Astyanax mexicanus: one gene and its partner. The protein of the gene in region 1 purifies or fractionates together with the protein of each later gene. This does not show direct contact. Links are inferred from orthologs where the notes say so. Each region holds a gene or a part of one and is shown on either strand. Other genes may lie near its edges.

Region 1 (7,409 bases):
GTGCTGTCAAACACAGCTGCTGCTGTGCATGGCAAGATTTCTATTCTGCCTGGATTAATCCATACATTTTCTGCAGTACTACACTAGGGTTCATTTGAGCTTCTGTGTTTGTACTTCCTTATGTTCAATGCTAAAGCTTACTCAGCACTAATTTATAAAGCATCACAACTACACTGAGATATTATAATAATTTAAAAAGACTCTATTCTGCCAGGCACTACACACCACACTTATTTTTGTCTCCCTCTTACGATACAGGGAAGTATCAGCATTTTAGCCTTTTATTTTTTACTCATGATTAATAAAAAAAATACTGTTGTGATTAATACATTATATTTTAAGGGACTGACAACTCCAATATAAATATAATTCCAATCTTACATTCTTCAAATTAATTTAAGTTATGACTAAGTTTTTTTGTGATTGACACCACTAGTATATACTTATATGGAATAAGCATCATTCTAACAAATGTTTTCTGGATTAAAAACAATACAAACCAATCTTTGAAGGGAAGATTGTTTCATCATCCAACTGATCCTGAACCCAGGTCATCAGATAATCAATGTATTTTGGAGCAGAACATTTGATTGGTTTCTTAATGTTGGTACCATCAGCCCAGTGGTACTCATACCTGTACAAACATAAAACTCGAATGTTGGATGTTTGGACACACATTTTAACATCCAGTTTTGATTAATTTATCACATCAAGAATGATTAACAGTGATGCAAAGGCCTATACAGATACACCAGTAACATCACGTCATGTTGGGAACCTGACACTAAAAATCCTGTTTTCATAAATTACTGACGAGAACATATTTATTTACTTAGGGCTTGTTGATAAACATTATGTGATTATATGATTATAAAGAACATATTATATATGCACACAGACCTAGTGGACCAAAACAACAAAGCAAAACAGAACCCTTAAATGATTTTCTTTTACCTGGGCCCTGCAGACATAACAGAGCAGCTGGTCTCAGTGCAGAATTCAGTAATGGTGCCATAAAGCATGTTGATCTGGTTAAAGAAGTCCACAGCTTTTATATGTAAAAAACAAACAAACAATAGTGTCATCAATATGCAGGATCCTTTTGCTATATCATGACAGCCTCTGTATCTCTTTCTAGACAGAGAGCTAGACTGATTTATACATTGCACATTGTACATAACTGAATGTGTTTATAGAAATTGTTCTTCAGGTGTCTCTGACAGATTAACTCTCACTCATGCAGATATAGAGACTTATTATTATAGACTTACTATTTACGGCTATCCATTCATTAAGATCCTCTCCCTCTGGTAGCATAACAGCAGCTCGAAGGTTGCCACTTCCTAAAGTGGCTTCAGCATGCTTCAAGAGTTCGTACTGGTGAGAGCCCTCTGGAATGTTCTTCTTTGGTTTGAATGTCTTTGAAGACCGACTTGCACTAAAGCGAAAGCAGTAAGATTTTTTTTCAACATTTTTAATGTTTTAAACATGTTGCTGATCCCCCCCAAAGCAAATCCTCTTGTGTCATTGTCACATAACACATATAACCATTGGAATCTTCCCGCAGAAATGCTGCATTATTTCTTTCTATATTTCATGCTAAAACACTTCCATATCTATATTCTAGTTCGAGACTGTGGTTTTACTAGGTCTGCTACGTTGGAGCACAAAGCTAGAGGAAATCCCCTTTGGCAGCATTAATAATGTCATAGGTTAATAAGAAATTAAAGACAGTATTTGTATCCGGCACAGCTAGTGTTAATATTAAAACACCCCGCTGTGCCAGGAATTTAGACGTATAAAGACGACAACAACCAGTAATTAGTCAATCATCACAGAGACGATGCGGTATGACTAAATAATGACTGTTTCCTGTTTCTTCATACATCTCAGTTCTTGCAACAACATGGCGACAACTGTCAGCAATGCACTTTTATTAATGCTGTAACAGCCAATAGCAGCAGGCAGACAGACAGATATGCTGAAGTGTAGAGGCATATTAAGCATAACTGCTCAAGTCCAAAAATATGTTTTAAACTTATTAGATATATTAGATATTTTAATAGATCTTTAAACTAAATCATTAATGAATATTTACTACTAAAAAAATTAGTTTACACCTTAATCAACCTTACTACAAGACAGTTATCAAAAACAGTCTACTTTCCAGCAAAGATTAATATGGGAACCAGCCAAATACTAACTAGAACACATTCCTTAAATCTTATCGTTAATTTCCTCATTGTATCGAAATTGTTTGTGTAAAATTCACACTGATGTTTTGTTTTCTAATAATGTGCTCGATACAGACATTTCAACACACTAATGAAGAACGATATATAGATCAGTGAATACAGGGAAAGGGACAACACTAACACTTTAGGAGACAATAACACAGGCTTAGAATCAGCCATTGTTTAACCAAACTTCTTTTTAAAAACTTATTTCAGCTAAAAAGAAAGAACTTTATGAGAGGAACTGTTTATAGGTTCAGCTTTGTGAGCTAAAGCTAGCTAAATAGACAAACCTAACCTACATATTTTAATTCATACATACTAGCCAGCTAAAGCTAGCCTAGCTAACCGAACTAGCCCCCTCCTCGCTATTCTTGCTATTAGATAGTTAACTATTAGCTGACGAATATGAAACACTCATCAGTTCTTTAAATAAAACACAAAACTACTTAAAGCCGTGTTAGCTAAAGTGAGCAGCATATCCCCAGCAGACGAACTCACAGAGGGACCAGCGCTAAACCCAGGCGGAGCGCTACAGTACTTACAATAAGAAACTCATTTCCGTTAACTTTCTTCAACTTTCAGTCCCGTCGCTGGCTGAGGAATTACTCCGATAAAATACGGTGTGTGGTTCAGGGGTAAGCTCTTCACTGAAGCGCTGTTTAAGGCATTAAAGTGTGGATTTAAAGTATTTGTAGGAGTTTGAAAAGCGCAAAGACTGACGAGAAGAGAAACTGCTGAAACAGGAAGTGTGTGTATCTAAAAACAGCGCAGCAGCTGCGCAGCGGAAGAGATGCAGTGCAGTGCACTACCCCCACTGTATACATCGCACACCACCCCCACTGTATACAGCACCCCACTTTATACATCACACATTACTCCCGCTGTATACAGCACCCCACTTTATACATCACACATTACCCCAATTGTATACATCACACATTGCCCCCAATGAATACATTACATATTACCCCCGCTGTATGATATAGGAATTAGTTGGCAGGTGGGCAGGCTCTCATCCGACTCTGAGAGAACTACGCATAGACATCATATACATAGACAATGTATCGACTTACAAACAGCAGAGATATAGTTATGATACAGGACACATTACACATTACAAATACACGCTTTCATGCTGAAATACTTTATATTATGCTTTTAAACAAAGACATAGCATATTAATAAGGTTTATAAAAATTTTTTTTATTTATATAAACATTTATACACACACACAACTTTACCATAAAATATTAAATATTAAAGTCCTTGAGAGATGTATTTTTTGCCATCATTTTTGTGTGACTCCATTCATTTTATATTTTAAAAAATATATATGCACATAAATACACACATCGCCTCTGATCTATATATATATATAATGTGTGTATTTATGTGTATATATGTATATATATATATACAATTAATTTATAAACCTTATTAATATGCTATTATCTACGTATAAGATATCTATGGAACTACGCTCGTCGACGTCAGTAGGCGGAGCTGCCCGGTGTAGGAACCCCTCCTTCTTTGTGACGTACAGGAGCATATGTTAAAACGACGTACCCGGGTCGCTCTGACCGGTGAAGGTGTCCGGCTCGCTGGTCTCAGTCATTCACCGCACCGCTCTGTCTGTCTGTTTATTTATACTTATTTATTCTATATGTATCTTAATTAATGTATATATATTAGAACTGACGTCTCCTAGGCTACACCATGGCCACGCTGAGAGCGCTGCGGAAGCTGTGCCAGCACGCTCACCATCAGACCTGCAGTCTCCATCTGTCCGCTTCACGGTACGTAGCTCAGAGTTACTGTTAGCTCAGCACTGTGTGTGATAATACAGCGCAGCGCTGTGTCCGAGCCCCACTTTTCTATATGGTTCCAGAGAAAGCCAAGTTTAGCTTTACAGCCGCGCTGACTGAGCCGGGGTGTTCTATCGAGTTGTGCTCCCCATCGATATGTGCTACTTAGCGGTTCTGCTCATGCGCAAAACTCTGTTTTCATGTTCTTTTCTTAGAGGTGGGTAACCCAGGTCCAGAAAATAAAACATCCGACGCAGGGTTTTGTATTAAATGCCTTGGCGGCTCTGCCGAAGCTAAGCCGTTCAGGCAGTTGGTACACAAGCCTGGGATGGAATTTTACTTTCTGGACTTGGCTTACACACTTCTACGCCTTTACTTAATCCTGATACCCTGATACAGCGATTTAGGCTATTTAAATTTCATACCGACACTTTTACTGCCAGCATGTTCTAATATTTTTTATTTGTACAGTTAAACATACTCTAGGGTGGCACGGTTTGACAGGGTAGCAGAATTCGACAGAACACTAGGTTTGTGTATGTGAGTGATAATTAGCTGTTTCCAGCAGTAATAAACCTGCAGACAGGAGTTAGTAGAGTTAGTTAGGTGCTGTTGGTGTTCGGGTTGTCGGCATTAGGTAATAAATGTATTAAACCCGGGAGCGGACAGCGCTGAGGAGCCACGGCGCGCGCCCTCCCGCGGTGTGCCGGTAGTGCTCGCGCACTTGTGGCTGATGAAATCCTGCGGGGCGCTTGCAGTAAGGAGGTCCGCGCTGTGCTGTTGCCCTCAAGCCGCGTCTAGGATTTACGAGCTGTGCGCAAATGCACAAACTCCAATTTACTAACGACAAACTCGACAACCTCAGACTTCCCGAGCTGGAGGCGTGTCAGTACAAAAACAGCTGATTTAGGAGAAATTGCAGTTTATTTTTACTCTTTATCCCCACATTAATAAATCAGATAAATGCATGCTACTAATGTTATACTTTTATACTACTGGATAAATGTCTCTCTCATCTGAAGCACATACAGTAACTTACACTCACATCTCACTTCAAATACATGATTTCTAGGTAGAGTTGAAGGTGTGTGTGTGTGTGTGTGTCTGTGTGTGTGTGTGTCTGTGTGTGTCTGTGTAAAATGAGCTGTGTGGCTATTTAAATGTGAGTTACGTGTTATTAAAGGCCTGCAGCAGACCCTGCTGTCTCTGATTTAGACTGACTGGCTCAAGCGCGTGGTTTATGCACATGACCTTATTAGTAATGTTCAGAAACAACCCGGCTCCCATTAACGGGCTACTTTTTACTTACTTACTACTTTGGTAGCATTCTTTTGTAGCATAAAAATAGGTTCTGATAATGATTACTGGTTATGTTGTAAAGTAATTATGTAATCCTCTTGATTACTTAAAAAAAGTAACATACTCTGATCCATTGACAAAACAAGTTTCAGCACAAGTTCCTCTAAGGCCACAGAAAGATTAATGACTGGTGGGAGCTTGTCACTTGGCAGTGTCTCCCTCAAGCAAGTGAATTGCCCTGGTGATTCAGAAAAACGAAGCACTCAACTAGCATAAAGTGTCCAGTGTTTTTTTTTTTTTTGTAAAAACAAAAACTTTTGCAGCAGTACTGTTTAGAAAAAGTGTTAACAAAAGTCCACTATGAAATAATTATCCACCACTGAGAGAACTATTATATGCTGCTACATGAAGAGGCCTCTTACATCATGCCAAATGGCTCATTACTTTTCAATGTGGCCTCTTATGTAAGCAAAATCTCATTCAAAACTGTTAACAATCTGAACCTGTGATATCCTTTCACTGGAATTGCTGGAAGGATTTAGCTTGAGAGCTGCCATTACAAGAAGTTCGCATGTAACATGCTACCATCTCTTCTATGTTTAGTCCATCTCTATAGCAGATCTCCAAAGAGACCTAGATTAAATTACCTTAACCTTAGTTTCCACAATTTCCTTAGAACTTGGCTGAGTGTGATAAGATCTGACAGCCATAAATCGTACACTTTGACCGGTGTTCTGTTGATTTGAGCCATCTTGTCAAACCGTACTTCCCTAGTGTAAACCAAGGTGTTACTTACACAAGGTAGCTAACACTAACTAGTGCTGTAAACAAAGTGAGCAGAGCTATTAGTGCCTCCTTAGCTATAGGTCTTAATGCTGTAGACCTGGTTTAGCTTCGCCTGTGGGCGGCCCTGAGCCGAGGTGGGCGAGGCCATGAACTTGCTGGTTGATGTAGACACCCTAACATCTCTGATTAACTCGTATTTCTGAGGATTTTCTTTTACTAGCTATTGTAGACAAGAGAGGCTAAGAATCAGTTTCATGTGCAGCATGCATATACATATCAGAGAGACCTATAATATTTTGCAAAGAACAAGAAAAAATTCTGTTTGTGTTCTTGTTGAAGGCGGTCGCATTTTCTTTCTCCTCCCTTCCCCTTATCGCTCCTGCTTGGCTTCTCTTGTCTCGTCTGGCACTGATATTCCTTAAAAGACTCTTTTCACACTGCTCTTCAGACCAAAAGAAATGGATATAATTAAAGGGTCTCTAATTGCAATTGAGTAGCCTGGGTTCGGAGGAACCTGCTTGTCCAGATTTGCAGTTTGCTATGCAAGGGACGCGTGGGAGACGTGGCGGACCGTGTGCCTGGCGACTCCATTGAGGACATCGAAGATGTCTACCTTTTTGGCACAATGATCACAGGGTTCTTACTGATTGGATTAGGCATTGCCCTGGTCTATCGTAAAATTGAAAGTGTGGGGACAGCTGTCAAAGGCCCCCAAAAGCTGCCCGAAATGATTGATGTGGTGCGCAGAGCTGTTGGCATTCAGACTGTGACTTTTAACCGCAACATTTAAAACATCTCGGAGAAGCAAACGGCTTTGCAAAGGAACGTGGAGAAAATTGAGACCATGGTGGACAATAGCGAGTGAGCGCCCTAAACTGGTCAACGGTCACTCACCTAAACATCTAAAGTCTAATCTGCTTTCGGCTCCCACCTTATCAGCACTCGGCCTTATGGATGATGGGGAACATTCCTTCAAAGAACACTGTGACTTGACTCTCTCCCTGTTTACCTAAGTTTGCTGGATGTGTCTCTGACTGGGAGCTGATCAAGGGTGTCTCCATGGCAAACTGATTGTTGCCAGGCAGTGCGACTTTCCCACGCCTTCATTACTTGTTATTTTGTGTGTATTGTATGTGCTCATGTGCTGAGGTTTTTTGATGTTCCTCTTTAGGGCACAGTCTAGGGGTATGTGTTTTCCCCTCTTCTTTCCCCTTATATTCCTTTATTATTATTATTTTTTTTATTATTTTTTTATTGTCATACAGAATCATACATGTCATTA
Region 2 (7,164 bases), on another chromosome or scaffold:
ATCAGCAGCAAAGTCGAAGAAGTAATCAAAAGTAGGAACTGAAGCACACGAGCTCTTCACAGATCTTGCAGCTGATGTCCGGCTCTCTTTCTTCCCCTGTGAGTGCTCTGATTTGCTGGCATGGCTCTGACTCGTCTGCTTGCGGACCTTCGGCCTGACCACCATTTCGGACTGAACTGTTTCCTGCATGCTGGTGCATTCTGGGTCTATACAGGAGCACGGTCCAGCACTGTATGATGATTTATTACAAGTGTCTAACTGGGCTTTTCCCAGATTATCATATTTACCATTGGTTTTCTCAGTCCTCGTGGAATGCGCATCCCCTTGCTCAGGTTTTAAAAGCATCTCTTTGGTTGAGCGATCAGAAAATTGGCAGAAATCTCCGTCCATGCACGCATGTGAGTGACCAAAGTCATCAAAGTCTTTCCCAAGGCCACAAATCATGTCTAGCTTTTTCTGAAAGACACAAGTCTGTTCTGAGCTCAGACCCTCCTCCTCACCACCACTGCTGTCCGGTTCATAGGAATCAATGTTCACAAAGCTCAAAACACTCGCACTAGCCAGCTTCCCATCCACCTCATCTTTCACATCCCAAGCACTAGCACCATTTGTAGCACAAGTGTCAAACGACACTATGTGATCATGCCTCCACTTCTCACACTCCAACAACTTGTGGGAGGAGTGTGGGTGCCTTTTACAGTCATTCTGGTTTGTCTTTGACTCCCGGTCAGCAAAATTAGAGGACAACACAGGAAAGCCAGCTGGAATCATTGAAGGAATGTTTCCTTTAGACAGAGCTAAAGAGAGAAAGAATTTATTTAATACATTTGGTAAAAACCTCTCTAAAATGGTAACTTTACAGGGTAAGCAAAAAACTTTAACTATAAAGAGGAAGTCAATGTCAAGTAATTTTGAAGCATTTCTATTAAGCAGTTAATCACAAAGTGTAAAAAAGAGCAACAACAACATATTGACTACATAGAATTTCTTTAAAAAAATGATTATAATTATAAAATAAACATTTGGATCCTTAAGTGTTTTCAAAAACATCTGTATACAGTGCCAAAAAAAACATGTTTTTATGTGTGTGGAAACATTTTGTTCTGTTTTGTCCAGAAATGTTAATTTTGGTGCATCCCTAATTTTAACCAAAGGTCAGCAAGTGATGTAATTTTGTGCTGATTCATACCAGTGGCGTGCTCCCCTTGGACACTGCTCATCTCCACCTCCTGGCTATCCATGCTGGACAGAGTTCTGCGCTTGTATGGGGTGGGCCTAAAGGTGACATACGCATGCCTCCTGCCGTATCTCCTCCCTGTGGTCGTCTGGTAACCCCCAGATGGTCTGGGCCAGGACGGCTTGCCCGCTTCCTGACCCATTGCTATGTGAAAGAAACAGCTTAGTGTACACAACCGAGATAACTGTGTAGGCCTTTGTATTTCTGAATCAGATGATCAACATTTTTAAAATAAAAAAAACATCATTTTTAAGTGGTCTCTTATTTATATATGTATATATATATTTTTAATGTACTGTACATATTTTCAAACCTGGAACTTAAATGCTAATGCATTCTGAATAGTAGACATTGTAATTCCAGCTATCTATGTGTGTCCAGGTCCACATGAAATCCAAATATGTATTTTTAGGATGTATGCAGTTTTAGATCTCTATAATATAATTTTAGATGCCCACAATAAGAGTTTTGATTGGTAACAACAATATTATTGATTTCCTAGTAAAAAGCCAACTGTAGATTTCTTTAACTGGAGTTCTTACTAATAAAAATGTGATTATGAAGTGAAATATAGGAAGCAAAAATCTATGTAAATCAATGGTAACATCCAGTATAATCATATTTGTATAGATCAGGCAATATTACTAGTACAATGTGATAGCGGATTTCTGAAATGAGAGTTTCTATAAGTAAACACTGCTGATACTATGTTTAGAGTGTCGAGTCACTGGTGTTACCCTAGGATTTAATGGCTTGCTATAGATCTGTAGGCCTGAACACAGGAAGATTTCAGTAAAGTATAATGTTAGATATGATTGCTAGTTCGCTTGTTAGCTAACTTCCAGAGGTCTGAACTTGCAAAGCATGTAGTTAAGCTTGCTAACTAACAAGCTAACAACCTATTAAAGCCCGCATTAGTGGAAGCTTGATATTAAACTAGCTAGCTAATATGCTGCACAGGTATAGCAGCTGTAAGTCTGCAATGGAGTTTATAGGAAACATCAGTGTATTTATTTCTTCCGTGTTTTAAAATGCCTTTATTTAACGTGACTGTCTATTTTTTGCACAGGAAGAAGCAAAGCCTGAAGGCTGGCATTCATTAGCTGCCACTGTGCTAACAACAACAACAGTGTAGCTTAGCTAACTGACTGAAGCACACAGTTAGCTTACCTAGCTTTAGCTTAGGTAACTATTTATCACATAGCTTAGCTAGCTAAATGTGATATTAACAAACAGTAGGTTAGTTAAAATATATACAAATATAGCTATCTAAGGCAGTATGAGACATTTCTGACTCTTTAGTTTTACTCATCACAAGTTACAAGAAATGTTAACAGGCTAAACTTCATCCCCAGGGCCCTGTTACTTTTAAGTAAGTGAAGGTAGCTAATCTATCTATGCTAAGCTAACATAGCTAAGCTAAGCTAAACTAAGCTAGGCTAGGAAGCCACTAGCCTGCTTATCGAGAGCTAAACTTTCGCTTTGTGAGCTTTAAGCCCCCCAACCCGCAGCAAATGACATGAAACGATGTGATATCTAAACACTACAGCCCCGTCACACAGCCCCGCTGTGCTGTTCAGCGACAATCAGCGCAGATATTTAACAATAAAGGCTTTTACCAGTCTCTCTCTCTGTCTCCCTCTTGTTAAAGCGACTGAGCGGACGTCACAGCCAAACTTCAGAGTCATATGACAGCCCTGCTCCAATGCTGTCTCTCAGCAGCAGGCAGGCTCATTGGGCTCAGGGGGGCTCCGCCGAGAGACGAGGTGGGTCACTCCCCCTGTTTACTTTCCCTTGTGTTGTCTGGAGACAGCACTACATCCGGGTACGTTGCCCTTGTGTAAAGCCCACCCCGCCCCCTTTTTGCTCCACACTTCTGGGGGCCACTAGCATGCTGTCTAATAAGCCCTATCCGGACGAGATTAGTTTCTCAGGGGGACGTCATACCTGTCAAGTTTTGGACTTAAAAATAAGGGATTTTTTTCCGCCGCCCCAACAGCCCAAACGAGGGAAAAAAAAAATAATAATAAATAAATAAATATATATATATATATATATATATATATATTATATATATATATATTTTTTTTTATTTAATAGATTTAAAATTGAAATTGAAGGGTGCACAAATTTACAAAAAGGACATGGATCAGATATATTCCATAAGTAAATAATAGTCCTAAGGGGCCTACACAATTAATAATCTTTCATTAATACTTCTTTCTATCGTTCAGTCCACTCCTGATCAGTTCAGTTAATTTCAGCCCTCTCCACATTTTCTCTCTCTCCAGCTCAACCATCTCTTCTACCCCTTCTAAATAATACATTACACCACAATACTTGAGATTTAAACAAATTCTAACAAACCCTAAAACTAGCCCTGAACTAATAGAGTTTGGAAATGATAGTTATTGGCTGATCAGGCACATCAGGGCAGGGCATTATATATATATATATATATATATATATATATATATATATATATATATATATATATATATATATATATATATATATATATGTAGATTTTTCTCAAACCCTGAATATCTATCTAGCTAATTCTAAAGTTAAGCTAACTGAGTCACAAGCTGTATTTTATTAAACACACAGTGGGTTTAATTTATGTTTTGATTCAGAGAAGAGTCTTTTTAACCCGCTATCAGAAACAATCTCATCACAGTTTACATGGTTAATTACCTTTCTTTTAGAAAAATCTCCGTATATCCAGATTATTTTTAAGGACAGCTGCTTCGACTAGCTGCCTGAACTCACAGCGAGGGGAGGGGCGGGGCTTCCCGCACACTAAACTGCGCTCCGCAAAACCAGCTAGCTGATTGGCTGTTTCTCCTGAAAGGCGGGACTTTCTCCTTGAACCGGCACCACGATTGGTTAAGAGACACACAGCGGTCAGTGCATTGTCGCCTGTGGCCTATATATTTTTTTACTAAGTATAATACGGGAAATTTACGGGAAAATACATAATACGGGAGGACGGCGGGAAAGAGGAGTAAAATACGGTAGTTTCCCGGCCAAAACGGGAGACTTGACAGGTATGGGGGACGTGTCTGAAAAATATTTCACACTGCGCACCAGATACCTCAAATATCCAATTGTTCCAAAAGCCAAATAAATCCACTTTAAAACCTTAAATGGAATCTATCTTTCCAGTCACTTTATTCAACAACGGTTTGGTATTAAAACAAATAACTGTGTTTTTTGTGATGATACTGAATCAACTAAGCATTTATTTTTTTCACTGCATATATGTTAAAATACTGTGGTCTGATATTTTTAATTGGTTATCTTCCAAAGTTCCTTTTCTTAAAATGTTTTCTGTTGAAGACATAATTTACGGACTGTATAATATGGACAATTAGAATGACGACTTTCTCATTAACAATATTATCAAACTCAGAAACTCAGAGATGTGAGTCCGGACAGGATTAAAATTACCGGAGGAGTTCATTAAAAAATAGTAGGTAATTCAGCCTGTAATTTTAAGAGGAAATCTGAGAAAAACACATACATGGTCGCCCATAAAACGGCCATAAATGAGAAAATTACCCCAGGACCCCCTGAGAAACTAATCCTGTCCGGATATGGTTTAAGATCTCCTTGTGAAAATAAAAATTCCACTATGAACTTATACTAGTTTTTTAAACTCTTTACAGTAAATTGCTGTGTATATTTAAATTACGTTAGTATGTTTCTTTATATTTAGTTCTGTATATTTAATAGATTTTTTCTGTATATTTAGTTCTGTAAAGTTTGTTTATTTTTTCTATATATTTATTAAATATCTGTATATTTGTTTTATATATTTAGTTTTTTTTCTGTAAATTTTGTATATTTCTGTACAGTGTGTCTGTAAATTTAGTTCTATATATTTAGTATATTTCTGTGTATTTATTATATTCATGTACAGTATAATTATGTATATTTAGTTCTGTATATTTGATATATTTCTGTATTTTAGCTCTGTATATTCTATATATTTACTTCTGTATATTCTATGCATTTAGTATATTTCTGTATATTTTGTATATTTCTGTACAGAATATTTTTGTAAATTTTTCCTAAATATTTAGAATATTTCTGTATATTTAATTCTGTATATTTTATATATTTCTCTATCATTTTCTATATATTTAGTATATTTCTGTATATTTTGTTCTGAAACTTTTTTCTATATATTTAGAATATTTCTGTATATTTTGTCCTGTATATTTTTCTATATACTTAATATATTTCTGTATAATTATTATATTTCTCTACATATTTATTGTATTCTGTATATTTTTCTTTATATTTAGTATATTTCTGTATATATTTCTCGAAATATTTTGTCTATATATTTAGAACATTTATGTATATTTATGTATATTTTGTTCTGTATATTTTTTGATATGCTTAGTTTTCTGTATTTCTGTATATTCATTATATTTCTCGAAATATTTAGTATATTTCTGTATATTTTCTATATATATTTAGTATATTTCTGTATGTCTAGTTCTTTATAGTTAGGATATCTGTATGTTTAGCATATTTTTATATATTTGTCTATATATTTAGTATATTTCTGTATATTTAGTATATTTCTGTATATTTAATATATTCTGTGTAGATATTGCTATATTATTAGGATATTTGTATATTTGGTATATTTATGTATATATTTTTATATATTTAGTATATTTATGTATATTTAGTATATGTATGTGTAGTTAGTGCTGTATAATTAGTACATTTCTGTATAAGTAGTACATTTGGTATTTGTTAAGTAAATTTCTCTATATTTAGTTCTGTATATTTAATATATTTCTGTATATTTATCTGTGTTTTTAGTGTGTGTATGTGTGTTTAGTGTATTTAGGGTGTATGTGTAATTGTTGTACAGTATCTAATCAGCTGTCTGAAGTCCCGCCCGCTGTGTGTGTTGGTGAGCTGCAGGCGGCGCTGTTTATTCGGGTTCCTGGTGAAGCTGCTCCTCCTGCTGCCGCTGCTGCTGCTCGGTGTGCGGCTGTGTTGAGAGGAGATCAGGACGGGGGCAGAACGGGGGGGCAGGACGGGGGCAGGGCTGTCAGTGCTCTCAGGATATCAGGCGTCTCTTTGCTGAATCACACAAACTCTTCCGCGTCGGTAAAGTTTGAGGAAGCTCGGCGCGGTGGGGGAATGGCTGCTGCTGCTGCTTCTGCTGCTGCTGCTGATGTTGTTCCTCCTCACGAGTTCAGAGAACTGCTGTGATCCTCTGAGCTCTCCAGAACTCCAGTGAGACCCAGCAGATCTTTACAGGAGATTTATACTGGGATATATTTCACCGTGTAGTTAATGAGAGTGGAGGAGCTGGATTACCCTTTTTTCTGAGTGACCGAGAGTTTCTTAACCTGCACCGTGAGGAGGAGGATCTGAAGAGGAGAAATGAAGTTCAGGGGACAGTTCACAGTGTTTGGCAGTGCCATATTCTGTGTGGTGGTGTTCTCCCTGTACCTCATGCTGGACCATCTGCAGTTAGACCACACCAAAGACCCCAGCAGTTTAGAGGGGTTTCAGAACGTGAGTATTTATTTATTTATTTATTCCTCTGTATTTACAGGTATATGCAGATGTTGCTGTATGTGCTGGGCTGCTGTTTTGTGGACTGTACCACACTGTTAAACACCACAAACCCCATATCATACCTTATTACTGAACCAGGAACCTCCTCTGCTTTGTTTTTACTACCTGTAAAACAATTTCTTCCTGCCTACCACTAAATACAGCATGCTGTACAGTTTCAGCTTAGCTTATTTATTTTGCTTAAACATATCATTTAAAATTATGTATCTCACATAAAGGAATGCATGCAGATATATTTAATTCCTCTTTGGAAATACCATATGGAGCAGAAATATATGTAAAATGTATTATATTTTATGTATATTTTATGT

The links.
Region 2: the proteins of mob1a (region 1) and pja2 purify together in Homo sapiens (affinity purification with western blotting; 3 studies listed by BioGRID). This does not show direct contact. The link is inferred for Astyanax mexicanus from reciprocal best matches to the Homo sapiens genes MOB1A and PJA2.

The regions. Positions count from the first base shown.
Region 1 is NC_064429.1:1,652,776-1,660,184, forward strand, and holds the start of mob1a (MOB kinase activator 1A), read right to left. Parts: upstream 3,010-7,409; 5' UTR 2,794-3,009; coding exon 2,780-2,793; intron 1,439-2,779; coding exon 1,272-1,438; intron 1,049-1,271; coding exon 955-1,048; intron 635-954; coding exon 501-634; intron 1-500. Other genes in the region: mthfd2 (bifunctional methylenetetrahydrofolate dehydrogenase/cyclohydrolase, mitochondrial), read left to right, coding at 3,954-4,033. UniProt on the Homo sapiens protein: Activator of LATS1/2 in the Hippo signaling pathway which plays a pivotal role in organ size control and tumor suppression by restricting proliferation and promoting apoptosis.
Region 2 is NC_064408.1:18,516,795-18,523,958, reverse strand, and holds the start of pja2 (E3 ubiquitin-protein ligase Praja-2), read right to left. Parts: upstream 3,026-7,164; 5' UTR 2,857-3,025; intron 1,382-2,856; 5' UTR 1,380-1,381; coding exon 1,190-1,379; intron 798-1,189; coding exon 1-797. Other genes in the region: man2a1 (alpha-mannosidase 2), read left to right, coding at 6,656-6,790.